Caenorhabditis elegans: one gene and its partners. The protein of the gene in region 3 interacts with the protein of the main gene of each other region in a biochemical or structural test. Each region holds a gene or a part of one and is shown on either strand. Other genes may lie near its edges.

Evidence for each region.
Region 1: the proteins of flp-18 (region 3) and npr-13 interact in a test that uses a peptide from one of them, tested with the Caenorhabditis elegans proteins (one large-scale study listed by BioGRID).
Region 2: the proteins of flp-18 (region 3) and npr-10 interact in a test that uses a peptide from one of them, tested with the Caenorhabditis elegans proteins (one large-scale study listed by BioGRID).

The regions. Positions count from the first base shown.
Region 1 is NC_003283.11:14,850,850-14,863,069, reverse strand, and holds npr-13 (G-protein coupled receptors family 1 profile domain-containing protein), read left to right. Parts: upstream 1-4,466; 5' UTR 4,467-4,504; coding exon 4,505-4,591; intron 4,592-5,125; coding exon 5,126-5,263; intron 5,264-5,372; coding exon 5,373-5,481; intron 5,482-5,982; coding exon 5,983-6,080; intron 6,081-6,761; coding exon 6,762-6,869; intron 6,870-6,918; coding exon 6,919-7,047; intron 7,048-7,089; coding exon 7,090-7,143; intron 7,144-7,211; exon of another isoform or gene 7,212-7,283; intron 7,284-7,335; coding exon 7,336-7,584; intron 7,585-8,362; coding exon 8,363-8,517; intron 8,518-9,049; coding exon 9,050-9,199; intron 9,200-9,977; coding exon 9,978-10,053; 3' UTR 10,054-10,245; downstream 10,246-12,220.
Region 2 is NC_003284.9:13,026,907-13,036,288, forward strand, and holds the start of npr-10 (G-protein coupled receptors family 1 profile domain-containing protein), read right to left. Parts: upstream 5,799-9,382; 5' UTR 5,726-5,798; intron 1-5,725.
Region 3 is NC_003284.9:3,009,638-3,018,613, forward strand, and holds flp-18 (SVPGVLRF-amide 3), read right to left. Parts: upstream 4,650-8,976; 5' UTR 4,642-4,649; coding exon 4,566-4,641; intron 3,524-4,565; coding exon 3,431-3,523; intron 3,382-3,430; coding exon 3,232-3,381; intron 3,184-3,231; coding exon 3,130-3,183; intron 3,084-3,129; coding exon 2,921-3,083; intron 2,871-2,920; coding exon 2,780-2,870; 3' UTR 2,777-2,779; intron 2,728-2,776; 3' UTR 2,553-2,727; downstream 1-2,552. Other genes in the region: Y48D7A.1 (TransThyretin-Related family domain), read left to right, coding at 1-131, 377-538. UniProt on the Caenorhabditis elegans protein: FMRFamide-like neuropeptides. Ligand to G-protein coupled receptor npr-1. Involved in modulating locomotion quiescence during the sleep-like state called lethargus which occurs during molting between larval and adult stages, acting via npr-1.

The DNA of each region.
Region 1 (12,220 bases), on a different chromosome or scaffold from region 3:
GTGTGCCCACGTTAATGCAAGATCGCTCCACTGTAACACTGGTTTGAATTGATCAACCATACTTTTTTTAAATTCAGCAGTGTGAATATATTGTATTATCAAAGGATCCGGATCTTGAAGATAATTTCCTAGCAGATACTGGGTCCCGTAAAAAGATTTTTTTTAAATCTACTAAAATGTAATTTAATTGGCACCCAAGAACTTGTACCTTTCGAGATTATAAGTAGAACACAATTATTTCTTTATAAGCTACTGTAAAGCAGAGGTTTTTGGTTTTGGCATTTGAAGAAAATAAACGTTTCTATAGATATGGAAGATAGTGGGCATAGTTCGGTTGATAAGATTTGGATTGATTCCAAATTTTGATCAGAAAAAGTGCAGATTCCAGATTCCAAAGAATTTACCCAAGAAAATTTAGAGAAAATTCACTCAACAGCTTTTCCTGTGATTTTAGTTGGTGTGGAAATATTATTGTTCCTGGAGATATGCGTGCTAGGGGTCTCAGGATCTGCCGAAAGTTTTTGCCATCGGAAGTCAGAGACCTCTTTTTACAGTTCCGTGGCTAAGTTCCAAAATCCAGCTTCCAAGAAAATCAAACTAATGGAATGCTTGGAATCCGAGAGTAGTACTACTAAGCTGCAATACCATTAAAATCCTACAACTCCCTCTCTCTCTCTCTCTTCCACCCACCATTTTATGAGTGTTCCCAAATGTGCACACACATCCCATTTATCGAAACGGGGCTCAATGCCAATCCTCACCACCCATAAACACAGAAGTTTTCAGTTTTTCATCCCTCTTTTCATCAACATCATCATCATTTTTTGCTCGACACAACTTTTGTGTGAGTATCTATCCATGTATGTGTGCTCAGGGCCCATCATCATCACCACCATCATCATCTCCATCATGAAACGTAATTTGGGAGGAGCAAGGAGAAGAATAAGGCAGTGAGCATACATACACGAGAGTGGAGCATCTACTATTTTGGCCATAGGGAGTATTCTTCTTCTTCTTCTTCCGACGAGGTTCATCATCATCATCATCTGTCCCTCCACACTTGTTCAGCTTCTTCTCCTCCTCCTTCTCCTATATTTTCTCCAAATAACCCATTTTCCACCTATCGAGCACAAACACCCCTTGTGTGCTCCATCCTCTTCTTCTACTGCTTCTGCTGCTCGTTTTCCAAACTTACTCCATCTCTATTCCATTTCCATTTTCGTTCATCTTCTCAAGAGCAGTAGATGCTTCTAACATTCATCACCTTCAAAAACTTCTTCCTTCTTATCTTTGTCGTCACTACATTAATCATGTTGTGTGTTTTTGTGACTTTTTGGAAGTGTTAGTATTTGAATCATCAGTGGAGTTATCTGATAATACTAGATTATTAGAAACTCAAAAGATCAGACAGCAAACGTGATCAGTTCTTTATGTAGACCACCTTGCAAAAAAATCCTAAAATGTTCTCTTACAAATCAGCTGCATTTTGAAACTTTTGCTCGTAGTCGGCGTTTGAAAATAGAGCTATCAAAATGCTTGGTAGCGACTTGCTCGGGGTCAGTTTATTCTTAAGCAGATATTTGATTTTTAGCTCATGTATCGAGCAGGTTACCACAAAAGCTCTGTGTCAGTTTTTTTTGTTGAAGAAAACTTCTCTAAAAGTTTCCTCAGTGATTGATTATTCTCTGATTCTTTTTAATTAATATCAGATTTTTAAAACTTCCATTGAGTAATTTTACAGTGTTCAGCAAAAAATTGTTCTGACTTTTCTACGTCACTATTTTTTTGCAAATCTACAGCAGCTGAAAATATTCGGTATCATAGTTAGGCTATTGTTAGATTTCTTTAGAAGTCTGCTTGAAATGTGGGATCAAAATGTGTTCTGTAATCTTTGAGGCAAGAAATTTATTACTCTATTATCAAGCAACATAAAAATTATGGAAAATCAAGAGGCCCTTAACAGTAAAAAGGCACACAGAATTCGGTCCGCTTTAGGTTCATCAGAGATTAAACCTTCAAAATGTATTTGAACAAAATTGTGTCACCCGCCAGGTTTTTTCACTCGAAAAATACAGAATGAAATATGTTTTTCATAATAAACGCTATTGTTAATATTCCCACTTAAAATTGAAAAGTTCCCAGAAAGCTTAGTATCTCCAGTGCTTCAAAATCTTTTGTTATGAGATCTCTTCCAAAAATTCGAATATCCCAGTGATCATTCAAAAGCCCATCGGAACAGAAAACACATCATAGTAGTCTCCCAAATACGGCGCAGAATTTCAATTTTTATCGCAAGCTGTGAACATTTATTTCTATAGAAACAGTGGAGTTCGTCCTCCATTAAAAAACATATGTATAAATTAAAAACATCATAGAATTCTTAGTAGTTGCTTCTTACATCATCATAGTTTCATAGTTTCCACTATTATTTTAATGAGCCAGAAAGTTTTTTTGTTTTTTCTGTAGTCAAAACTGTTGTCAGACGAGTTTCAAGTAATAGATTTTAGTGTTTCAAACGCTTGTAGAGTGAGTGTAATTGCTATATTTCAGCTGCTTAAATGTGTCCGCAGAAGCTCAAGCTCAACTATTTCCAGCTTCTTACTTTGCGCAAATGCGGCGTCTTTTCGAAAAGCCCCAACATTCGAATGCCCAATTATTCAATTATTTTTGAAATGCTACGCCTATATTAACAGCCATAAAGGTTTAAGGATTGAACTATTTTTTGACTCGACATCTGCAATCGCCTGTAGCAATAGAATCAACCCGTTAGATGTCCGCGGCAGTATTTTTAAAAGAAATTTGTAAGAAATTATTTACTGAAAACTATGCACCAAATCTTAGTCAGTAGTTTGTCTGTTATATTATGTTTAGAATCTCTTTTAGTTTTCGGGTTAACATTTTATAGTAAAAGAATCTACTCGGAATTTGTAAATTTCCATCTATATGAGCACAAATTCCAGAGCATTTCCAGTCCAAATTTCGGTTTTTAATAATATTTCACAACAATTGTTTTTTCTTTGTTAAGTAGGAACAGTTTAACACAAAGTCCCCACAATTGACAGTCCACCTTCGAATTAAATTCCAAAAAAATTACTTGAATAGTTCTTTGCTGCTTCCCACCTCCGCATTGATAATTGACATTAAAGCTGTTTACTTTTAAAATATCAAAAACTTATTTACTTGTTTATTGTTTTCCATAAGTTTTTTTTCTTGGAAAAATATATTAATTTTTTATTTCGTCTCAATAATATTTGATCATCATGCTTCATTATTTTATTATTTTTCATCGATGAACTCATAGCAATTAAAAACCTCCCTTCTTCTAACTAATGTTCTTGAAATTTGCAAAAACCGAACGACGTAAGGCTTTTACTATCAAAATGGCGGGTCTCAATTTCAAACGCTCAAAGACAATTGAGTTGGAAATTGGAAAAAAGGGAGGGGGAAATTTCGTTGCTTTCATTCCTTGAGTCACTTTGTGTATGTAAATTGAGAGGACTTTGAATTGAATTTCAGGATAGACTAAGTGAGCCCCATGACCCAGACATACAAATTGTTGCGATTCACAGAAAAAATATTTTTTGTTGGGTGTTCCGTACTTGGGAGGAAGTCTGTGTGGTCCACCATAATATTTTTTGAATGAAGATATGTAGGTTCCTAGAACTAATTGAAATATAAGTTCCTTCATTTTTAGACTGGAAATAAATAAATAAAAGTTCCAATTTCGGATACCACGGTTTTGAACTTTCTATCCACTTGGCTATTTTTATTTTGAACGCCCATCTAAACCAGGGAAAACAGGGTATTTCTGAACTTTTTGATGAAAAATGGATTTTGGTATCTTATTTATCGTACCAAAAAATAGTAGAAAAACTACGGTAAACTCACAAAAGCATGATATCCATGAATATGTGTTCTTGTTTGAAAAATGCCTCGTAAATTTGTATCTGAAATAACCTGTTCATTTGGTTACATTTTTAATATGTATATTTTCTCTATAGTTACGATGGAACTGAAGCATTATCTCTGAAATAAACATACACATTGAAATATCAATAGACTGAAGACCGAAACGTGACAAAATTAACAATTTATCAAAAAAATTCAAGCTGAAAATCAAGTTTCTCAGCACCTGCTCTCAAATTCTCAGTTTGGAAGTCAGTGCAAAATTGTTCGTAATTCAAAGTTCGCAGAATTCGAAACTCTAGATCGCTGATGTTCACCCTTTTTGCTCAATTCTTCTTCTTCACAAGGAAACACCTATCTATCTCTATCTCTATTGTCCGTAAAGAAAACAAAAAACAAAACAAATGTTCGAATCTCACGCACCACAGATTCATGCCTCTCATCTTCCTTATTCTCCATTTTCTAATCATCTTCGACTTCTTCTTCTTCTACGCCTTCCTGACTCCTCCCACACTCCTCATCCTTCTAGTACGTCGGTTAAAAAGGACTCAGACATCACACTTCTTTGTTTTAGGATCAAAAAGAAAATCAGTATAAAATGGGTGATGCTGAATCTCATCATTGTATAGATGTGAACGCCATTCTTCAGCAGTTCAATGATTGGACAGTCCTCTTTGAAGTTCGGGTAAATTAATTTATGATTTCAGAGATCTTAAAGCGAGTGATTCAGTGAAACTTCTTTATTTTTTCTAGACAACACTTTTTTGTTTGGAATTTTCACTTAGATTATTATGAAATTTAATAATCTAAACTTACATAACTATAAGTCTGAAAACAAAGCTTGAAAACTTCACCTTCTAAACCTAGGCATATTACCCTGCGTATCTAAAATCCTCCTATCTGAAATTTCAAACTGAAGTGCTCAGAAAAAAATGAAAAAAGTTCTGAATGCTTTTTGGATATTAAAAGTTAAAAAAGTTGATTAAAAGTTAGTGTCCGAATTAATCCGAAGATTTCAAAAATTAATGAAGTTTATTTTGCACATTATTTTAAAAAATTAAACTAGAAATGAATAAAAACTAATTTCTTAAACTCTATTTTTCTGCAAACCACCTTGAAATCAATCAATGATCATAAATTTTCAAAAATTTGTTTAAAATTTGTACCTGAAATTTATTGCTCGGAAACTCATCATCAAAATAACTGTAACAATTTTCAGCTTGGATATTCAGTACTATACTTTCTCATATTAATAATCGGATTGGTTGGAAATGGGCTATTGATCACTTCAATTTTAATGCGAAAGAAACTTTCCGTGGCAAACATATTCTTGATAAACCTGGCAGTTTCTGATTTGGTAAGTTTTCAAGATTTTATTTGAATTGAACTTTGAAAGTTCCTGGCTCAAGATCAGAATCAAAATTATAATTTTAATGTCAACCAAAAACGTCATACATTATTTCCAGCTTCTTTGCATCACGGCGGTGCCGATCACTCCAGTATTGGCGTTTATGAAGCGATGGATATTTGGAATAATTATGTGTAAATTGGTTCCAACTTGTCAGGCGTTTTCGGGTAAGAACGGGATCTAACCATTCGGAACAATTGAATTGTCCACTTTATCGTATTTGATAGGGAGAGCCGACCAAAAAGTAGAAAGTGTCGCTTTTGAGGAAGTAAAGGGAAAAAGGGAAAACTTGAAGTTGATTTTGATTACGAAAAAAACATTTTCGACTCTTTTTTTTTAGTGTTGTAACTCATATTTTGGGTGGAGGTATACCTGTAGGTTGCAGGTGCCTAAATTAAAACCTGAATAAGTATAATACTGATTTCAAAACAATTCTATCCCAAATTAATTTAAGCTTTAAAGACCCTCTGTGCCTGTTCTCAGGCGCTCGTCTTGAAAAATAGTTACGACTCTTGTGAAGAACAGAAGTCAGCATAAAATCTCAAAGCAGTAACATATTTTCAGCTGTTTTAAACACAAAGAAGCTTCAAATTTCAAAAATAAAAAACTCTGTACTGATTTTGCACACGAACTCTCTCCCCGAATCAATTCAATTTCCTAACTTTCAGTGCTCATTTCTTCATGGTCTTTGTGTTACATCGCAATTGATAGATATCGAAGTATTGTGACGCCACTCCGGGAACCATGGTCTGATAGGCATGCAAGGGTAAGATTTGAAAATTTAGATGGGGTTCTGTTAAAGTTGGGGTAGCTCCAGTTGGAAAAGTATTCAGAACTATTCATTTGGCACTAAAGTAATAAAACATCAGAGTGAACCTTTTTTTTTTAAATTGGAAATGTTTTTATTTACTGTTAAAAAGCGGCAAAGCACTAATTTTTCTAAAATTACAAATTTTGGATGATGGGTCTTTGTGACCAATTTGAGGATTTTGAAAAAAACTCGCACGGGTGCTCCTCTGTCAACTTACAGTAATTACGGAGTTTTCTGAAACCACTGTCTAAAGACGCATGGATTCATGAAAATAAGGCCTAGCTGCAAATAAAAAGTTTACGATATCATATTGGTGGTTTTGGCCAACTTTTGACAGTGGGTTAAAATAAGTAAATTGGATATAAAACAGCCGAAAACTAAAACAGCGTTGCAATAATTGTTTTCGCTTATTAGACCCTTCTGAATAAACCCGTGCGCCTTTAGGCATGCGTTTCAGAAAGTTTCTTTGTAAACGTACGGAGTTACACTAATAGAAGAAATACCGTATATATTTTCAAGTTTAGAACGTAGCTTTGCGAGATTCAATTTAATTTTTAGTGCATTAAATACTTTAAATAATTAAATTTATTTCGAAAATTCCCAAGCTTGAATAATTTTTCAAATATATTTTTCCAGTGGCTTCTGATGTTCACATGGGTGGTCGCCTTCCTTGCTAGTTATCCTCTATATTACTCACAGAACTTGAAAACAATGGTTATTGAAAATGTGACATTATGTGGAGATGTAAGTTTGAAAACCTCAAAAATATCCAGCTAACATTCATTTGTTCCAGTTTTGCGGCGAGTTCAATTGGCAGTCGGATGAAATATCCAAGTTGACATATACTACGAGTTTATTGATTATTCAGCTGATTATTCCAGCAATTATCATGTCTTTTTGTTATTTAATGATTCTACAAAAGGTATTTTATCTATTGAGACGTTTTGAAATGGTCTATTTTTAGGTACAAACCGACTGGCTTGTCGACGAGGGATCCATGTTGACTGCCGCACAACAGGTGAGACATAGACGGTAGCAGATAGCGATAGGGTTTTCATAACGACACGGAAAACCGATTTTCCCGTCGGGGGTATAGCTCAGTGGCAGAGCATTCGACTGCAGATCGAGAGGTCCCTGGTTCAACTCCGGGTGCCCCCTAAATACTTTTTGGAATTTTTTTGCAAAATGTTTTTCACGATAATTATTTCAGGCTCAAACAGCAGTTCGAAAGCGACGAGTGATGTACGTGTTGATTCTAATGGTTATTGTTTTTATGGCTTGCTGGTTCCCGTTGTCCGCCGTGAATTTGTTCAGAGATCTCGGAATGCGATTCGAGTTCTGTCAAACTGTTTACAAGGTTTTAATGATGGACCAAATGTATTTCAAGTTGCTCAATGTGCACGTCATCGCGATGACTTCGATCGTATGGAATCCGGTGCTCTATTTCTGGATGAGCAAGGTATTTGCACATTTAGGTATTTAGAATTACAGTGTTTCATTCTGATTTTGATAGGTTAATGGAACTCAAAAATTTTGAAGATGAAGAAGCCAATATGTGGGCGGTCATAGTTTTGATAGTTCCAGAAAAAGCTACGCGCTTGGCTTTCTTTTTTGCAACACATTTTTGAGCTTATCGGAATTGTTCAATAATTTTGATACATTTTTTGATGGTTGAAATTAGGATTTTTAAATTTAAATAAACAATCGGACAGAGATAGTGAAAAAATACTCGCACTTCTTCCTAAAAAGATTTATAAAGATTTATTATTTTTCGTGCCCTGCCACTCTCGTACTGTCGACTGTCCGAAAATTAAAATTTCCGATAATATAAGTTCGATAAATAAAAATGTGCATACGTCTTTCAAGCTCAAATGTTTTAAACTTCTCTGAATATTAGAAAAAAAAGATTAAATTTAACAATTTTTGAAATTTAGCAACCGGCTTCTGTCAAACTTTTGATTGCACCGCAACCCTGGTTTCCAAGCTCAAATTGCTCCAAATCTTAGTTTTAGGCATTGTCTCAGAAAATGATATTAAAAATGATTTGCAATTGTTGAAACCTCTGATTTTCCGGAAACCGGTAATCTCCAAAATTTAGAAACACCCTAAACTTTTCATTCCCGGAATTCCCGATTTCTGGGCACCGCTGGTTTACCAAAAACGATTACATTTGAAAATAAACCCTGTCCTCCCAACAATCATTTCATCTAATTTCCCCTAATTTTCAAATCTTCCAGCGTCATCGACGAGCCCTGAAAGACGACATGACGTGGCTCACCAATGCTCGCCGTCATACAAACGTCGGCGTTCTGTCTCGCTTCACACCTTCTCCATCAGTTTCAGTGGTTTACAGACGAACTCTGGAGCGACATCTAGGTGTCAATCATTTCCGGTAAGAGACACTTTCTTCACGAGTCTTTCTTGATTTTCGTCTTTTTGATGCCGCCGGCTAAATATGTGTGTGTGTGTATGTGTGCTTAGGCTAAATATGATTATGGTGGTATTGGGTGGAAAAATGAGATAGAGAGAGAATACACTCACATGCAACACTGATTCTAATTGACTTTTTATTCTGTTTCATAGGGATCCGAGGGGAACAATTTTGATATGAAATGAGAAATATTTCAAAATTAAAATCATAGAAACCTCACAGAACATTTTTTACCAGCGTTGTGTTTTTTAGCCAACAAAAATTACTTTTTAATCTGCATTTTTGAGAAATCTGCAAATGGATACTACAATTACCAAAATTACAGTGAAACTGTTCCAAAAAAATTTGAAATTCTCTAGTTATCAAAAAGTGGCAATACTCAGTTTTTACGCATCATTATTTAGAGCCCACCGAAAAAGTTCCAAGGTCAGGTCTCCAAAAAGTTCACAATTTCTGGCCATCCCTTACAAAACTACAATTTTAAATTTTTCAGCCGTGGCACACTTGCGGACCCGACATGCACTTCACGTGAACGAAGTCTTCCGCGAGAACTTCAATCAAATTGTTTCCTTCTTGTTCCGCTTATGCCATTATGTCAATCTGTGACGAGGAAGAATAGTCATCTAGCAATCAATCGAGACGGGTAAGTGATGTTACAGTTGATAGTCCTTGAAAGACATTTTTATGCAAATGGCGAAAAAGAGAAGCCAGAAGCTCAATTGGAAAAAAAATTACAAAATGTAAAAGATGATTAGGTATTCCCAATATTCTCATAAGTATTTTGTCAGCTGGAAATTTCTCGTAGATTTTCCAAAAAAGCAAGCCGAACATCTTAAACAAGATTGTGCTGGAACATTTTCAAACTTGTGGCTCTTTACTGTATTTTTTTTCTTGAAGAGATACATGAGCTGCAATTCTACGAAATTTTCAATTGCCCAATATTCATCCAATATTTTAATTAAAATGTAGAAAACAATTTGGTACATCTGAAAAGTCTATATTTTGCCTGAAACGTATGAAGGCGCAAAAGTTTAATGAAAGCTGCCAATAGGTGGAAAATGCCAGGTCATCAAAAACAACTGCAACATTTTCTGAACCCCTTTTCAAAATTTCCAATTAAAATGAAATTCATTTTCAGATCAATCAATTATATTTCTGTAATTTAATATAAAGCCTCATGGAAAAATGTGGGGCAACATATTGTGATATTCCATTTTGCAGAATACACAAATTTAGCAGCTTGTTCATAATGTGAAAAATGTAAAATAATTTTTTGAAGGAGTGTTTCAAATTTTTTTTTGTTTTTTTTTTACAATGTGGGATTACACGTAAAAATATACCATGCGTTTCCTTTCTAGATCCCTCCGGCAATATATACATTTTCCAAAGATCCCACACGAACATTTTATTTCTAATTACAGGATCGTCATTCCACAAGCCAATGGCTCAAGTCGTCGGCCGAGCAGCGTGAATACCAATTCAACTCGAGACTGGTGACACCACCAACTTCTTTTTCATCATTTTCTCATTTTCTCATTATTTTCATTCACTTTTCTTCCCATTTTCATTTCATTTCTCTCATTGTCCTCCGCTCTTCCTATCTCCATTCCCTCCGGGTTCGTGCTCTGTCGTCTTTTTGCCATTTTTGTGTCTGTTTCGAAACGAAACAATAAATTGGATATTCTTGGTGCCGGGAGAAGAAGCTTTCTTGCTCTTTTGTCTATTCCTCTTTACTTGTAAGAATTGAGAAAAGAATTGGAAAAGTGCACGACAATGGTGGTTGTGCATTTTAATGAGCTAGTTTTGAGCGAAGAAAGACCGCCTGAAGCTTTCTAATGTCACAGAGAATTAACAACAGGACATATTTTAGAAAAAACATCTGAACTCGAAACCTTAACATTGTTTAAAATTATCTGAATATAATTATTTCGAAATTGAAATATTCCGCTGAAAAAATGACCAAATGCTCAATCTAATCAGAATTTTTGTTAAAAAATTATTGGATACTTTTTAAAGCAACCTCTATAACGGAGTCTACCTGGAAAACTCTAAAATTAAAAAGAATGGATAATTTAACATTTATAAATTAACTTTGTGATGGCGGGGAAATGTCTGAAGAATTTACGAACTATGTTTAAAATTAATCCACAAACATTTTTTTTAATTCAATAAAAAATTCAGTCCATAAGAAAGCTTCTAACTTTTTTGGAAAATAGAAAAAAATTATTCAAAATTAAGAAATATGGGTTTAATGTAATCTTTAAGTCTCAGACCGTGTGGATTTACATTCTCACAATATTTGAACAATACTTCTTCATCAAAAACAATTAAAATTGACGTCACAACCGCGTGCACAAAGAGCTATCAATTTATAGGTTGTAACTATGATAAAAATTGATAACATCCACATATTAAATGTTTTTGAATTTATTTTTTCGGTTGTTTTTGAATAGTTTTTTAAATTGTATTTGAAATTCATTGTTAGAAAATTGCATTGGCAAAAAATATGAGAATTTCAAAACTTCAAAAAAAGTTTTGACATTCCAATTTTGAAATATTTTTATCAAACTGTTTCAAAAATGTCAATTTAAATTTTAACCAATTCCAATTTTTGCTAAAATTTTCTGTTGTTGGTCTAAAGTCTAAATTTAATTTCCAATCATGATTAATTTGTTTAAAAAATTCAAAATTACGCCTTTGAATTTACCAAAAAGTTTCAAGATTACAATTATTTGGAACAGGTAAATTTTGACACTTATAAACAGTTGTTTTTCATTCAGATCCCTTTTCATTAAAAATTTATAAAAGAAACCAATGTTTACAGGGTCATATTTAAATTTCACTTCAAATTTACATAAGCATGGATCCCTAAATCCATGCTCGCAATCGGATCACTAACCCAACAAGTAATGGAAGCATTAGACCAGTTGCAAATGCTCTCAAATTCCGTTTCTAATCCATCGTCTGGTCACACAGCTTTCCCTTCAGTTCATCCGGTATCTCTAATTCTCTTCAATTTGCATAATGTTTCTCCAATGGGCACTACTTTTGAAAGACGAGGGCACTGAGCTCCCTTGCTCTCACCCCTATTTTGGTCGTGAGCTCTGCACTCTCTTCTCTCTATTCTTGCTTCTCTTAGGCTTCCACTTCCAAAATGGATCAATTCGTGTTTGTCTCCTTGCAAAGGAAAAGGGGACTCCCTTTGAGAAGAGACAGCAAATGATCTCATTTTGTTTCGAAATACTTTGCTCCGTTTTCTCGAATATTCATTTTTTGCGTTATTGACAAAAAATTATTTTTCATTTGTCAATTAAATAAACAAAAAAACTTGAAATTCACAAGAGAATGCCTAAAATATCCTAAAGTTCCAAGAAATATTTTCCAAAATTTGTCGCTTTTCGTATTTTTAGCGTAAAATTGTTCTACATTTTCATACTCAAAAAATATTGAAACGCTCTAATTTTCAGCCAAAAATTGACATTTTTTAAATTTTGGCAATTTACCGCAATTATGGGTTAAAAATTTTATAATAATTTCCAGGCGTTTGATCATGTTTTTCTAGTCAAAATCCCCACTGGAGCTGCTCCTGCTTAATCATAAATCTCATGATTTTTCAAAAATCCTAGCATTTCAAAAATCATGCACTTTTTCAGTAAATTTCAAA
Region 2 (9,382 bases), about 10 Mb from region 3:
TACATGTTATTCATTAACCTACAAGAAAAGTATTTCAGCTGTCATCTAAATATTTGTATAAAACCTATGTCGTTTGAAACGAAAAACATTTAAATAAGGTCACTGAGTAAATTTAGTGATAGAGAGGAAATCTGAACAAAAAAAAGACATTCTCAACTTTTTTAAGGGAGTGAGCGCTATTTTGAAACTTCGATACGAAAAAACCTTTTGTACAACAATTTCACAACTATTTATTTTGATAAATCTACATTTTGATTTTTTTATAGGGCTCGTCGCTAAATTTTTTGCTGTGACATAATTTAGAGGTTTTTTTATCTGACACGCGGTATATTAGTTTAAACAAGCTGAAGCTGTTTTTCAGTTAGGCTACAAACTACAAAAGATCACGGAACTTTAGAAAAGTGAGAAGCAATAAAACATGATGCTCGAAAATATTCCACCTACCCAAAGTCCTCTTCCCCGGAACAAGGGTTTTGAAAGTAAAGATGATCTTTTTTGTTCTGACTGCTAGAATCGTGAATTAAAAATAAGGAACGTAAAAGTTAAAAGAAAACGCAAGGAAAAAAGATGGAGAAAGAGGTGTAGCAAAAATCTAGAAGACGGAAAAGTAGTGGAAAAATAAAAAACTAGAAGGATAGAAAAGAAATGGAAAAGAACCATATCGTGAACGCATTAAGCCGTGGCACCACTCTTTTTTGGAAGGCGGGAGGCGGGGTGGTCCGAGCAATTGCACTTTGAGAAGTAAAGGTAAACAGGATATCGTTTCAGATTCTCTGTTTTTTTCACTCAATTTTCACTTACTAGTCTCAATTTGTTGAAAATTAGAGGGAAATCTTGAGACAAATCAAATTTAACGGACGAAACAAATACACCGCCTGGAAAACACTAGGAGTAACTGAACCATGGAAAACGAGAAATCGGGAAAGGAGGAAAAACAAAAGGGAAAGAAAGAAGAAGAAGGAGAAAAACGAAGATTAGGTTATTCATTGGTTTACCAAATAATATGCAAATGTAGATATGAGTAGATATTCTCGAAAACGTTTGTCAACTTTTATAGAAAACAATGATCCGTGAATCCGCAAATTTGTTCCATCGAATTCGGATATTACTTCTCGGAATTTGAAATTTTATTACACAGACGTTAAAAACATTGAAAGCCATTCCATCTGTTTCCTGTTCCTTCTCAATTGGGAATTTTAGGAGTCATATTAAATATTAATGAAGCACTGGTCTGGTGAAGCCCACATATAGAGAAAAGCAGTCAGATTTTTGAATGAAAAAATAATTTCAAATGTTCTGAGAAGACTTGTAATACAATGTAAAAAAATGTGACTTATGTGGGAGGAAAACTGTCGTCTATACGCAACATGCGTCATTAAGTGGTTATTGCAAGACAATCTTTAATGACTTGATGCTATCAAACAAATTTTAACAATTAGAAGGAATCTCGATATGAAAGGAAATAACCAAGATTCAGGCGGAGCATATCTTACAATATAACAATAGTTTGCTGTTATTTTAACATCAGTTTATTACAAAAAAAAACTCTAAACATGATGAGGTTGTATACGAGCTAATTGGAAAACTGCAATGAACCTACATACGAAAATCATCTTAAAATAATCTCCACTCATATCTTGGTTTCCTTTTCTTGTTTGCATTTTGTTGTCCACAGTTTCTACTGTTTTTTGTTTTGATACGAGTAATTAAATCAGATCAATACAAAAATTAAACCTTCATTTAAAATTTTTGAATAGTAATCTTTATTTATTTCATTTATGTTATAACTTAAAATCACAAAGAAAATGTTGCACCTGAAATGTTTCATACGCAGAGTACCAATGTTAACTAGTTGTTACAAATTTTCACAACTGAACAAACAGCTCACAGGAAAAATGAAACTAAACTGACATACAAAGATCACTTCACAAAACGTGTGCATCATATTGAATATGCCACCTCTTTTTTGGAATTTGGTCTGCTTCTGTCATTTTTAGAAAACAATGATTTACCCTGAAAGAAGTCAACGACATATTCTATCAAGTGGCATGCTCGCGCTTATGCGTTCCTAGAAAACTGTAAAATGAATTTCTAACTTTTTTTAAATCTAAATGTTTTTTTGCGATTAGATTTCACTCTATGAATAGCGTTAGGGGTTAAAAAAATTGAAAATCAGGATGTTTATGTGGCTCACGTTAAAAAAATTTATACTGAATGTTATTTGCGCTTGTAAAAAGGGCATCACCGATGAAGTGAATTGCGACATAATTTTTTTCCATTGTGCAACATTAGCAGATGTTTTTTCCGCCTGGCACTTTTGAGACCCGTAATACATAAAATCAAATTATCAATTAGTTATATAATAGTTGCATATGTTTTCAAACACGTTTATTCAAAATGTTGGTTTTGAAACATTTTTAGAAAAAAAGGACTAGCTTCGAACCTAGAGAATGATTTCCTTTTCTAGTTTACAGTAGGAAAAAGCACTGAAAAAGATATCGAAAGATCGCCAACCTACACAGGAAGTATTTAAAGATGTTACCTCCGGAAAAAAATTAAAAACTCCTATGAATGTTTCATAAATATTCGCATGTTTCAATTTCTCATGAAATTCGGGTGCCTTTTGAACTCGCTCTTGAGGAGTGAGTGGATAAGATTTTTGGTCATTAGAATTGATCGTTGACAAAAGTTTACTGTTTACGGGATGACAGTTCACCGACGACGACAAATAATAAATAAAGGAACCTGTGTCGAATTACTTTTTTCTTTCACTTCCACTTCCAACTACACAGAGATCACCTCTTGAGTGAGAAACATTTTCACAAAAAAGTCAGTCAAGTGAGAGAAAAGTGTTGTGACTTGGTGCATTAATTTGTTAGAACGGTTCTAGAATCCAGATAAGCTGGTTTTCGGAAGACACTGATACTAAAAAATAATTTAACCGTTTCCTTGTTAGTTAATGCACTCCAATCACTAGAGACAATTTATATATTCTTTTTTAAAAGTTTCAAACTCTGTTTTGTGCTCGGATTTGCTTAGGTACAAAATCACAAACAAAAGATTAGTTTTTCCTGTGTTTTCAAGTGTTGCATACCCGTCATATCTTTTTGCGGGAAAAGAGCAACAAATTGAGCAGGAAAAAGAGGAAGAAATGTTCGAAAGAATAGGCGTCAACCTTTTACAAAATTGTTGTAAAGATTGAGGGCAAATGTGCTTCGTCTTTTTTTTTTCATTCAAAGAAAACCCGAAGAAAAAAACGAGACTGAACAAGAAGAGGTGCATTACATTGGTACATTCCATTGAAATAGGGTGAAAGGTTCATAAATCGAGTTGTTGTTTATTTTGGGGTTATTTTATTTTTGATTGAGTTTTGAACATCACTGAAATGACAATTTGTTTTTTTTTTCAAAAAATTTCTGCAGTATATGGAATTATAAAGTTTAAAGACGGAAAAGAATCAATGCACATTCACAAAGGGAATTCACCAATATTTTCGAAGAGTATCTTTGCACGTGGTACCAGACTGTCCCATTACCGTTTGATCTACAATAAATAAGGGAATTTTTAGCCCAAGATAATGTGACGTCAGCACGTTCTTAACCATGAAAAATCAGTTGAGAACTCTGCGTCTCTTCTCACGCATTTTTTTGTAGATCTACGTGAATCAAACCGAAATGGAACACTCTGACACCACGAGTCTTTGGGGGCTTGTGCTTATAAACTTGTAAATGAGAGCTAGAAAAAGTACTATTATAAGTTTGATAACGTTTCACAGTGTTTATTTTAGTATCATACATACAAAATAATGAACAAATTTCAGTTCAGTTAAACATGAATTGTAGTGGAAAAAAAATTCAAACTAAAAAAGTACAATGTTTCGTGTGAAATGGGATTAGGTATTTTAAAAAAAACCTACTACAAAAATCCAACATCGAATTTTATATTGATCTTAGAAATTACTATTTAATAGAATATGAGATCTGTTATTTATGTATACCGCAAAAGAAATCCTTGCAGTCTGACTGGAATGGTTCAAATTTTTATACAATGATGGTAGTAATGCTCTCTTTTTGAAAAGTACGCCCTTTTTAGATTTTCTCGAAGCATGTAATATAATAATATAGCATCTAATACTGGTGAACTTTTTGTGATTCTAAAGCAATCCAAATATCAAATCTGACACATCAAATTCTAGTCGGACTGATCTCGGCTAAACTTTCTATGTGAATCTTATCCGGTATTATAATAAAAAATTTAATACTTTTGCAATGGACTTCTTAAATCATTTTTTCTATTAAATCTTGCTACGACACAAGTTTTCATTTTACAAAAGCTAGGTGTGGAAAAAATTTAAAAATAAAAACAATTAGAAGCAATGGAAAATTCGATTTTATTGTGAATGTGTAGATGTCTCAAGTGTGAGAAAATGAAAAAGTCGATTGACTCTTGAGTAGAGATTTGTAAGATTTATGCGCTCAACAAATAGTCGCTCCGTGAGATTTTCAATATTGCGTTGGGATGTGTACTTTTTCCAACGAATATTGGAACATTTACATAGTCGTTCAGTGAGCATGTTGTTTTTTTGCCTGGTTTAAAATAAGGAATGTTCTTTTTTTTTACTGAGTTAAGAACAATGTTGTTCCACTGCTCAGCTGGGGTCAGTGACGTTTTTGTTTCTAGTTTACTTACGCTTATTCACTAATGAAAATTAATTTAATATAATTGTCGTATTATTCACAGGGAGAGAACAGCCGATAGAAATTGACATTTATGTCTTTGATGAAAATTGTATTAGATGCTACAATACTAGAAAAAGGAATTCCTAAGCATACATTTACAGGAATAATAATAATAGCAATATTTCCAAAACTAAAATTCTTTTTGAAAATGGCGTGCAGCTTAATGCAGAACACAATGAAGGGTCCTTCAGATTCTTTATTCCGCCGAGCAAAGTTCATCACGTGATAACGAGTTTTCCTTATTATTCTGTAGAGAGCAACAACCAAAGGGTCCCGAGACTGAGTACAAATAACAAAAAAAAAACGTTGTGTTTTGCAAATACCGCTTCTGAAGTGACCAATATTTCTAGAACAATCAAAACATGTTTTAAACTGACTCGTACTGTTTGTCAAAAAAAAATTCTGATTCTGCTCAGTACTTATGCAATAGATATGCTGGTTGGAAGTTTTGCAGTTTTAGGCCTAAGGAAAATTATTGATGCATCAAATTAAAAACATTCCGGGATTCGGCAGTAACAAAAAGGCCAACACAACCACGAATATTTAACAGAAAGATTTTTGCCTTTTTTGCTTGAAGCAGTACTCGATTTTTAGGAAGAATGAAGTTATCAATATTTCATTTTTAATTCCAACTCCAAGTGAGAGAAATATTGGATTTGTGAAAAGAAAGATCATAAAAATATCAAGAACTTAATGAAATAAATACGATTCTCGATCTAACAATTCATAAAATCTTCAAACCAAACACTTTATTTTTTCAACTCTGAACCCTAAACTCTTAAGCCACATCCTTCATGCATTTGTTAACAGAACGCAAACGCATCATAAACTTTTGCATCTTTTTTGCACCCATCACTTCAAATCTATCTAGTTTGCATTTTTCTCATCGTATGTGCACTCAATTTTGTCACGCTAGCCTCATTAGAGCAGCATGGGCCCGACGAGAAAATGATATCAGTTTTCTGAAAAAGAATTCAGTCACTTACTATGTATCGTTGAGCAATGCTTCTGTAGTGTCCGTTGTGAAGTTTTCACTAGAAGTGTGATTCATTTCCGCTCTGAAACAAAAAAATGATCACGGTCCATTGGAGTGAAAAGTCAAGAATCGAATTAGATAAGAAGAACAAAAACGTCATGAAACACTGATATTCCGAAATAGAAACAAAAAGTATTGTGATTCTTGAAATATGTATAGTCCAGCAACTCATCAAAGTTTAAGGAAGGAAATGAAACATCCGGGATTAGAAAACGAAACCAAAAATACCGAAAAACCGCACTTTTCGTTAGAGTAAGAGATGAGAAAAGTGGGCATTAGAAAGTGGCATTCTGAAGATTTACGGTCAATTTCACGCATGCTATTTACTCTGGTGTGCTACTGCCTAGAGTAAGTTCGATGGCCAGAAATTTTAATTTTTCTGAAAATTGTGAAAAGAATATGAGATTTGAAAATAGTTATACCTAGAAATTTCGAATATTTCGAGAACATTTTATTTGGTGTGACATTCTTGATACTATGTATTTAATCATGTACAAAACTTTTGGAAAATTTTGCAGATGTTTCTACATCCGTTTTGAGGAGCATGCATTCGGCTGTTAATATACCACCTACAAGTTTAAAAAAAAACTCAAAATAATTTGAAGAAAATAGGGTTTGTTGGTTTTTGCACTTACAGATAATTGTGATATATTGGACTTCACAGAAATTTATATATTATAATAATCCGAAATTATGATAAATTGTCAATTTAGCTAAAAATTTAGCTAAAAAGCATAAAATATTTAGTATGATTGGTTAAAAATTCAGAACAAAATTAAAAATAAATTTTGGGCAAGCAATCATCTCTACTGTTGAAATTTTTGACAACAAGCGCAGGCAATGTTAAGCGCGAATTTCTGTTTGTAGCCACGGATAAATTATTTTAAAAAATATAGCCACATACGGGACAACATTTATTAAACATTAAATGTTCTAAACTTGGCTGACATTTTGCGAGTTTCTGAATTTTGATTTTATTACAAATTTTAGTTAACTTAACTTTAAAAAAGGAGCGACACCAAATCAAATTTCAAAAAATGTAATTATGTAATTAATGTAATTAATAATGTAATTTTAAAAATTGTCAGTATGTTATGTTTCATCTCCAGCAACAATCTAAAAAAACGGAAAAGTGCAAGATACCGTAGTGGTTCTTTCTCTAAAGAAATGACATGCAATCGGAACAAAAAACAAACAGAAAAAAGGGTTCCCTTTTGAAATTGCAGCACCCTTCCATTTTTCCTTTGCTTTTTTCTACATATCCACATGTGTGATGATGTCGACGGACTCACTAAAACAACCACGGCGGCTTGATTAAGTTTGTCTAATGAAAATGCACGTTCCGAGTTTCTTCTATTTTAATTCTATCAGGCACAGCCATGATTGGAAAATGTCAAGTAATGAAATTATTTTTAATATAACCTGGAAAGTAAGAATTAATCGCAGAAATATATGTCTGGAAACGACACAATTAGATTAAAACTTTAAGTGAAATAAAAAACTAAAACAAGGAACTAGTTCTAATTTTATTTTGGTTCTTTTTTTCCAGGAAAATTCAATTCATGACCCCGTATTTATGAAGGGTAGCATATAGCATTAAAGAGAGAATTTAAAACTTGAAAATAAAAAGAAAAACAACATAAGCTATTTTGACTCCAACTTAGACATACACACACTCTAGAAAAAAAAACTCAGGAATACTATAATTTATCTTTCAGTCAGCAGTCCTCTCGATAGGACCCCAATTTTGGTTTCGTGCGGCACTCAATTGGTTTTCGGATTGGTCTTGGTTCGTAGTGGGGGATAAGGATTAGACAACGGAGGGACTTTTTTCCATCAAATTTGCAAAAAAAGGGTAACAAAAAGTTGACTTCCGGGTCTCGTTAATTGATTCTACAAGCCAACTTATTCCGTGATTGTTTTCTGATGAGTTTCAAACTACATTTAGAACAAGTGAAATTGAATCCCAAAAAACTTAGTTTTCCTCTTTAAGCTAGTATTCCCTTTTTTACTTTTACTATTTTTTACTATTCCCTTTTTTCGCTGATTACAAATTGAAATTTTTGATAAAGAGAAAGTTGATAACGTTTTTCGGAGACACATTTTTTGCACGTCGCACTAACCCTTTGATATATGTACCTACCGTACTTTTCTAGTGCTGTAAATGATAAATGTAGGTTGAAGTTAACATATCTTCTGGGAAAGTTGTAAACAACAGGAAAAATGTACATGTGGCATTTTAAGGTCCTTGATTAAGTCGGATGCTCATTCACGCTGCAGATACCTGCTAATAACACCTTTTCGGTTTTACATATTTATGCATTCCCTACATTTTTTCTATGTATGACTACTTTTGAAGTGATACACTTTACAAATATTATATTGTTAACTCTAAATGTAGACAGTATTGTTCCTTCTATGTACACATTTATAAGTTTTTTTAAAACAATAATCTGACTAATAAGAAAGGACGTAGAATAGTGAAATCTAAACCGTGTGCGAATCTGGAAACAAATATGTTTGTCCTTATTTTTATACTGGAAGCTCTACAAAATAAAATTTGAAATTTAGTCTGAACACTAATTCTGTTAAGACATCAGTCCTTCATGCAAATGCTAACAAGACTATGATAGAAAAAAAATTTGAAATATCAAAAATATAGAAATGTGAAGCCATAATGTCTGGAACGACCATCAATCAAATGAGGAAAGTAACCAAGTGAACTTTTTAACGAAAAATAAATCTGAGAAATATGCACCCGTTGGGAGTTTCTCGGTATGGTTGTTAGGTTTTTATTTGAAATGTGTTATCATGAAAATGGCCGTTTAAACGTTCAACGGATGAAAGGACATTTGAGAAAAAAGAAAATGGGTCGAGAAAAGATTCGATTGGAAAAACACGAATGTTGGTGGAATGGGTTTCGATAGAAGGACCATGATGAGAAAAGAGTGGAAGGATAGCAGTTTTTGATATATAACTTCCAAGGTGTGATGGACTGAAAGCCCAAATTCAAGATAAATCGATGAAAATGAAAAGTACATCCGAGTTTGAAAATATCAGAATAAGCATGCAAGAAAAAGTCAAAAAGTTTGCAGTAGGTCCTAAAATGATGCTAATTGTGATAGGATAGGATGTCTGCACGGAAGTGTATAGTCTTTAGTCTCTGCCCAATTTCAGGAGGCAAAAAAGGAAAAAGTATATCCCCATTAGAAGAAAAAAAAACAGGAAATAACAGGTTGGCGTCCTGCGAGAATACGGATTTCTAGACTAAGCCTGGGTTTCCTGGCATTATTGTCTGATCTTATAGGTTATAAAAAAGCGGTTTACTTATTTATTTAGTAATAATCAGAAATCAATATGAAATTTGGATTTTAAATTTTGAATCTTGAAACACCCCGTCATAAAGTTGAATTATTGAAGACTACAATTTGTCATGCAGTGGTTTTTCCCGATACTGTTATATATATATATATATATATAACAGTCAACAAGTTTCATACAATGTATAAATATCTCGACTTCCTTGTTTTTGGATTTTAACTGAAGGAGTTAAAAATAAAGTATTCAGAAATGTCATAAAATTCCATTAAAGTCTTTGGAACAATGA
Region 3 (8,976 bases):
ATCGATACATCGCCTTCAAAGTCGACACGAATGCTGATGAGACAACAAAATATATGATTTGCGTGCAACACCACATGCAATGCTTGCAAGCCAACGTTGAAACTCCTGATAAAGTAGTCATTAACAAAAAGGTGAGAAAATGTTCTTATTGTATGACTAACTTTAAAAACTATGAAAAGAAACTATTAAGAAACCATAAGTTCATGAAAATGCCTTTCTGGGGCGAAAGTTGCGGCAGCAGGGAGAACATGCGACGACGAGAAATTTAGGTGCCTTCGCAACAAGATATTCCCGCGCCAAAACGGCAGGCATTCTCATGATCCTATGGTTTCTTAATATCTAGACAGTCTTCATTTCATCAATAAATTATTTTCAGAAACCCTCTGGTCAGGTTCGATATCTTGGAAAGAACAACTTTCTCTGTTCATTTGCCTCTTCAGATTTTCCGAACATTTTCCAAAAGAAGAAACAGCTACTCGTCTCGAAAGGAGTATATCAAGAGCCATTTGTGCTCATCAAGGGTGTCAATGTCCCGTAAAAATTTCGAAAACGGGACAACGGGAATTCCCGTTTTTTTGAAAACACTCAAAAACGGGACAAACTGGGCGGTTTAAAAAAAGAGTGCATAGTTGGCAAAAAATGAGGGAAAATGTCCCGTTCCCGTGAAAATTTTAAAAACGGGGAAACGGGAATTCCCGTTCCCGTGAAAACACCCCAAAAACGGGACAACGGGACAAACGGAAAACGGGAATTGACACCCTTGGTGCTCATTAAGAGCAAAAAGTTGTTTCAGTTGAATGAAAAGAACTTATATTTTGAAGAAATCAATAGCTTGTCAAAAAGCTCGAAATTCAAACCTGACGGAGGTTCACACATCTTTGAGCAAAATATTGAGCAGGAATATGTTCAGTTTTCGTATCCTGCAGAAAGAGACTCCAATGACGCCGCCGATTTGGACAGCCCGAGATGGGCCTTTCACGAACTTTTACACAAAACCACTAGACATATACGAAGTTCAACGTTTTCAGCAGCATATGGCCCAAGCTTGAATATGAAAACTTGGCCTGAATGTGAAGAGTGCCCACGTAAGCTCCGCACGTTCTACTCTGTGAGTTATTCATTGCTTCACGATTTTTTTAAACAAAAGCATATTTAGGACTTCCGATTGCTCATCTCCTCTAGTCACTCGTTTTTTCTTCGAATTTGTCAAATGAATGGAAAAATTAGAAGACGCTTGCACGCAGTCTCGAAATTGTAACGGATCTATTGGATGGCTTCAACAAAGAAATCTTCCATACCAACGCACGTTCCTCTCAAACTATGACATGTGCTCATTTACTGTCACTCTGCCCGGATCGGTGAGTATGCCTCTAATCTTTGGCATTTATATTATAACAGTTTTTGTAACCAAATTATGATTATGTGTTTTGCTCTTAAAGGTCAAATATATTAGCAGAGTGCATGCATTCATTCATAAAAACTCGATAAGTTAATAATGTGCGTTTTAGAACGAAGGATGGACGTTGGTTAAATGAAAAGAAATGGAGCTGTGAATCATGTACGAAAATGATCGATATTGCTATCAAAGTGAGAAATTAATTTTTTTTGTGAAAAAGAGGCAATAGTAAAATGTAAATTTTATAGCTATTATCTTCATCGGTCAACACATCATCAACGCATTTCTCCCCCAATTCCTCTGTCCGGACCAACGTAAAGAGTGTTTATCACACACACACACAACAACGACCGTACTCTCATCATCATGGCGCTACGCACATTGGCCTAATCTTCAGTCTTCAACACCGCCGCACGGGCCCGACGGCCAATTAAATGGATGCGTCAAATGTTGTGATTCAAGGTTTTTTCCTTTAATCACCCCTAATAAGTTAATTGATTAAGAATTTTTTGTTAGTCCTATCAGTACCTCATGGGTTGGATACCACTCCGAAACATACGGTACTTAAAATTATTGTTAATGAACGTAGTGAAAAGTGAAGCCATAATTAAGTAGAAAACTTGTTGACTTTGTTGACTTGCTTACAATTAATTTTAATATTGATGCTCTCTCTGAAATGAAAGAAAAATTGTACAGTACTAGATTCATCAGTGTATTGGGAAAAGCAGTTTGAAAAAATCTTCATGATCCCAGATTCAATTAATCAAATCTGAAACTTGAAAGAGAATTAAGGACGGAAATTACCTGTGCACATGAAGTTGGTTATTTGATAATTCAAAAAACTTTTCTGCGTTTCAAATTTTTTGGAATCATTTTGATACACATGCTTCAAATTTTCAGCAGCTTCATGAATAGACTCATTTCACACTGGGTTCTGTTTAGACTTATCTAATCTGATAACTGACATAACACAAAGCATACTTTTTCATCGTTTGAAAGCTCAATGAATCAATTCCTAAAATGCACAGAGTTGGAGGTAATTATTCTTTTCAACACACGTCAACCATGAACAAATCTGCTTTTCAACATTGTTCAGAAAACAATTGATAGACACACAACTACATTACTCAAAAATTAGACGAACTGTGTTTGACGTAACAGGAAATGATTCATTTAATCGTATGGAGCTCTAGAATTGACAACGTTTAGTATCATTGTTGAAAAGAGACAAAAACTTAATATTAAGTGATTGAAATGAGACGCTCGGAAGAAAAGAAGAAAAACAACGAGATCATCGAATTGTCGCTGGCACATTTTACATTCACATTCATCTGAAACTTGATACATGTCAGACTGGCAAAATCTTATTTAGAAACTTACAATTTACTTCCGTCCGAATCGGAGAACACCTGGCACACTTTTCTTGAGCAAAACCCCTGCGTAATGCTCTTCCAAGTCGGATCGCTTTCCAAATCTGAAAACAAAAACCTTGGTAAGCTGGATGAAGTCTTAAAATGATCGGACCTCAATACACCGGGAACATCGCGTTTTCCGAAACGGAGAACTCCGGGCACTTCACTGCGCTTGTCGAACGAATCAGCCATGTAATCTCTCTTTCCGAATCTCAACACTCCTGGGATCTCCCGTTTGTCCATTGGCACATCACGTTTTCCGAAACGAAGAACGCCTAAAAACTGAGATGTTATTTGATTTAGAATAGATGATGATGCCACCTGGAACACTTTTCTTCTCATCGAAATATGAGCGTTTCCCGAAGCGAAGAACTCCTGAAAGTCAATTTTCAGTATGCAATAAACCAACAAGGAACTACTTACCTGGAACACTTTTCTTCTCGTCAAAATATGCACGTTTACCGAAACGGAGCACTCCCGGCATTTCTTTTTTCTGCACACTGCTTTCTCTTTTTTCCCAAACACCTCCACGTTTTCCAAAGCGCAACACACCTGGCATCGCCCCATCAAAGTCTGAAATTAGACAAAAAATTGATGGTTAGTTGTACGAAGAATTTTGTACCTCTTTTTGAGAATACCCGACCGTCTTGTTTCTCGTTGGTCCGAGTCACTTCGATATCCTCTGCTGGTATGTCTTCTTCGACGATTTCATAGACTGAAAATATAAGTTGTTTCAATGTGCCGTCTTGTATTTAGGGCTGCCATATCGGACGTCCGGCGTCCGACAATTTCCGAGTTGAGCCACTCATTATAAAATTATATGATTATGTATAGTGAGTGGTCAAACTCGGAAGTTATCGGACGCCGTGAAAAACTACCCCTTGGAAAAAAAAGTTTGCGCCCCTATCGGACGCTAAGCGTCCAAATTCCTCCTAATTGCAGTTATGTATGTGTTTCGATCGACCTTACGAGAATTTTCAAAAATTTCAAATTCATGCTTTCAAATCGACACAATTCAATTGTGCACCCCTGTTGAAAAAAGAAACGAAAAAAAACACGTTTCTTGTTGATTGAAATCGTCGAAATACATCACTTTGGCAGAACGACAGCGTCATTTTACTTGGCTTCCCGCGTTGGTCTAGATGGGTACAGAGCACCATCGAACGAAACATGTCCCAACGGGCCCCGACAAGAAAGAATAAAAAACTCAGCATCCAACTCAACACTATCTTTCCACAATATCCATAGGCGCCCCCTTTTTTTCCCGCTACATCTTGTTTTCATCCAAGCGTTTTTCCTTCCAAAAATACATTGGGCCACTCTAGATTATAGAAAGTTTGAAGGTCAGTGGAAACACTTTTCAATAAGACAATAACACCAAGTCTAGAGATTCACGGACCGTGGGAAGCAGCGAAGATTATTCATAGGTCTCACTGGAAAATGAATATCACAGAAGCTTATAAAAACTAATGAAGTTTCAATACGGATGCGATGTTTGAACACCGCGCAAAATTATTTCAGCTAACTACGTCAGGTCCAGAATTTTGAAAAAAAACTAATGTACGCGAAACCAACGTTTCGACAAACTACAAAGTTAAAAATTTTAAAATAAAATTCAAGATTACATTAAGACAAATTATTGCCGTCATTTTATTCAATCTTCCACGCTGATCTGGGGCTATCCAAACTCCCTTCAAACCCAATTAAGAGATTGGATCAGCCAAGACTTTTCTTTGTTTCGTTCATCAAGAACTTACTTGGTTCGGTATATGCGAGCGCCCCACGAAGCAAACAACACAGCGAAATGAGAAGAACGCCCGACCACCGTTGCATGTCTAACCCTGAAATTATTATTTTTAGTTGTTAAAGCAATCGTTATTGTAGTTAAATAATAAACGTCTTGATGCCAATAATATGAAATATGAGAGTATTAAGCTTCTAGCCTCTTTCCTCAAGAACGACATCCCATCAAATGACACTCGCTAAAAAGTAAACGAACATTTTTAGGAAGATACGAAGAAGGAAGAAGTCACACCAGATCCTGGATTCCCCGCCTTTTCTCGTTACCGTAGAAGGTGAAGCAATGAAAAGTGACACGCTGACATCTTGACGTGGCTCATGGGTCGAGGGGAAGAAGCTGAGGAACTCGGGGTGTGTGGTTTTGCGGAAACGCGTGTACAAGGTATTCGAAACACCCCCCCCCCTTATTTGAAAATAGTGTCATCGGTGAGTGGCACATTTATCTAATGAGATTTCACTCATGTCACTTCCTAGGCGGGAAATTCAAAAGTTCGAAAACAAATCGAAATTTTGAATTACTAAATGTGAGAGAATGATGGCGTATTTTTTTGTTTAATATTTGATCTAAGAAGAAGTAACTTGAATAGACATAACTTTCGATCTTTGGAAGGAATTTTAAGGCTTGGGAGGAAGATTTTTCATTCAAAAAAAAACATAATTGATCAGCCCGTTCAGACACAAAAAAGACTATTTTGAAAATTGAGAAACACGGTAAGCTGAAAATTTAAAAACTTCTTTGGTTTCAGTCCTATTTATATGAGGGGTGGGATCTATTCGAACGGACCATTGAGTTGAGGCTCCGCCCCTCCTAAGAAACAACGACGTCATTTCTTTTTTCATGGTGGAAAAAAGCACTGATGTAGAGAATAGTTGAAGAAAGTTAGAGTTGTAGAGAAATAAGAAAAAAAGACACAATACAATTGAATAAATCGGGTGGGACCAGTAAGAACTTCAATTGTGCGGAGTTTATCTGCACAGGTTGTGGCGCAGCTAACGAAAAGAAGATTATCTTTTTTTTCCTAAATTCTCAGCGCACGTAACACACACGTCGTGTCATCGTCGAATCTCATTTCGGGGGTAGATTTCAAATAGATTGGCTGGTTTCCACTCAATTTAAAGAGGGTCAAGCCCACGCGTTGATTGAGGGAAGACTACAACATCTACTTGAGCTGAGTCAAATAACACGAACCCGCCAAAACACAACTACAACACACGCTACCTTTGAAGATGATCTATGAATATTCATAGAGTAAGCTTGGAAAAAAATCAGTGCAAAAATCTATTCCGCCCAGGTCATTATATTGTAATTCAATTGATCTACTAACACTTATTGGCAAAATTAGCTTTGGGCTTGTATCTGATCATTTTACAAAATAGAACATTCGGCTCATAAAAAGTAAGATTAAAGAAAGTTAGAAAATAAAGGTTCCGTCTCAGAAGTGAACTTGAACTGAGAAGTAGTAATAGTGTATATTAAACTGCAAAAGGTGGCATTGAAAATCATAACAATAGGTTCAAGCTTTATTTTCATGTTTTCGTGACCCTATTCCGGCTAAGCTGGGATATTTATAGAGACTGGTTAATATTCAGTAAAAAGTTGTAAGTTTTACTTTTTCATGACCATGTGGGCTTTCAATTAGCCATGTCTTAATTAACTTCATAAGAACGACGGAGTTTCATGCATCTTTCTAAACATACGAAATGTGAGATTAATTTATTCGCAGTGTGACAAACTTTAAAATTATTGTTAATTTCAGGCACTAATAAAGAATTTTAAAAATTCATTAAAAACATCAAAATCAAAAAACAGTCCGGAATTTTTTTAAAAAAATCTCACTTTGAAATTTATCTTTTTGAGATAACCTGTGAGTTTTTAGAACAATGCAGAAGTTTGCAGTTAAATTTTGGTTTTAAAAAATTGAGAAAAGTAAACGTGAAACGACGCAGAAATTTGTGTTCAGTCAAGAGCACAATTTTTTAAGAAGTTAGTTAGAACAATATATGTTCGACAAAAATACTACAACTATATTGTAAAAATAGAAATTCATTTGGTGATGTGATGACTGTCAGGAAATGAGTCGAAGCGTGATGTAGGATTTTTGTGATGTGGAAAACAAGGAAATTTAAGAAGGATACTGGAACAAACTGACAGGAAGTTCATCATTTTTTCAGATGTCTTATTTTTGTTTATAAGGTTTTTTTTGTGAAAAGCAAGAGTCCAAGATTTGAGTGAAGAAGAGCAAAATGTGAAAGCAATAAATTTATGTAATTTCTGTTCCATTTCAAGTTGTACTTAGCCTAAGGAAAACAAAAAATTTAATAAAAAGGGAAGAAACACAACTTTTCCCCGTTGAGAAAAAAAAGAAAAATGTGGCATTTTGCCAAAAATTTAATTAGAATATTTTTTTTTTAGGGTTCTTACTTGGTACTAATACACTACTCTTTTTGTCCATATTGGACTTAGGATTAATGTTTCTAAGCTTGAAAATGCGAATTTTACGTTTTAATTAAATGATCATTTCTAAAATAAATAAATGGAAAACGCATTGGAAAATATTTTGAACCAGGTATACTAAACAAGTACCAAAACTGGACACAGTTTACATTATTTTATTTAGAGATTTTATCGGCGAATGCGCGAAATGTCAGTGATTTCAATTTCAAAGTTAAGTGTGTTTCAAGAATTTATAGATTAACCTTACATAATTAGCATCCTGATTAAAAAAAAATACCAGCAAATGTCGGTTTTTTTTTAAATTTTTCGGCGTTTGGCAAATTTGGTAATTGCTTGTTTTTGAAATTTTCCGCATTTGCCAAAATTTCCAAAATATGAGAATTCGCCAAAATTGCCGAATTTGCCGAAATGACTGAAATTGCCAAATAGCGATTGCCGTGCACCACATGTATACCCAGCTCCATCTTACAGAACCAAAAAGTAACATCATATTTAGAATTTCTACTCGTAAGCACTGAACAAATCAGATCAAATTGAACGTGACGCCTACGACCTCATTCATCGGCGTTGAAATCAGATGTGCTTAACTAAATCATATTCTGCTCAACAAACATCAAAAAGAGAAATAAATAACTTCTTTAGTTTCTTTTTTCGGACCAACCTTCTTCTCGTGGGTGTCTCATTTTTCTATTGACTTGGTTTCGAAAGAGAACTTGGTGTTTGGAAACTTAATGATTACATTCTCGAATTTTCGAGTTCACGTGAATTCGCGTCAGATCGCATTTTTTCACTCATTTTCAACTAAATGACGCCGGAATATCGACGGAAATAGATTGAAAAGGAAGAACCTGTCAACACGTAGGCTCTACGAGACCTGCAGCGTTTCGGTGTCTTAGAATTTGTTGAAATTGGATTAGAAACTGAGTTGAGTCCTCTCTTAATACTGAGTTCCGCGCTACCTACATCACTGAAATCTAGTCAGTTGAATTGAGCCAATTGAATTGGAGAGAATAACGAGAATTTTAGGCGCAAAGTCTGGGGAATTCCAAAGAAAAAACTTTAGGGAGTGGTGGAACATGAATTATGAGCAGGATATGGTACTTGTAGCTCAAAAATGGCAATTATTGCTCTTGGAAATGTCTTTTGAGATCAAAAATGCTCGAGGAACTACAACTAGAAGCATAATTTTTGAGCGATGGTGTCCATTATGTTCGCGCTTCTTGTGCACTTCGATATTAAAACAACTGAAATGTAAAAATTGAACAGTGGAATTTTTAACAAAGAGTAATACTGATCAAGATAAATTGGATGAAATAATTAAATGAAATGAAATGGCAAGTATGTAAATTTTTTATTACTATAGCATGTAAGATTATTTTGCAATCGGTAAATTTTAGCGCAATGCGGAAGGAATTCAGCAAGGTACTGTAAGTCTTTTTCGAATAACGACTGAATAAAAATTTAAAAAAAAAGACAAATATTTTCTTATAACGGTGGTGTGTAAGTTTTGCAAAAATGCCGAAAATAATAGCCGCACTGCACTGCAGCTGCACTGAATTTTCATTTTTAAAATGCAGATTTTAAGTGCAAGTCAAAATTGACGTACTAGAAAAAATAAGGTAATTTAATTGAGTTTCTTTTCTATTTTTTTTTTTCAAAATTCGTCATATTTTGGAAATGAATTGCATGTTTTTCAAACCTACCTCCGATTCGAGCAGTATGTGACAGATTTGTTTTAGCTCAAAAATTGACGCTCTAGCACTAGTGTTCCGTGTTTTGCTCCAACAAACTCAACAAAATTTTTTCTTACAGTATGAAAACAACCCAATGCCAGAAAATGATGATTTTCGGCTGTGAAACTTATTGGACGCAAACCAAACATTAGATAAAGACAAATGTCCTAAAAGAAAAAC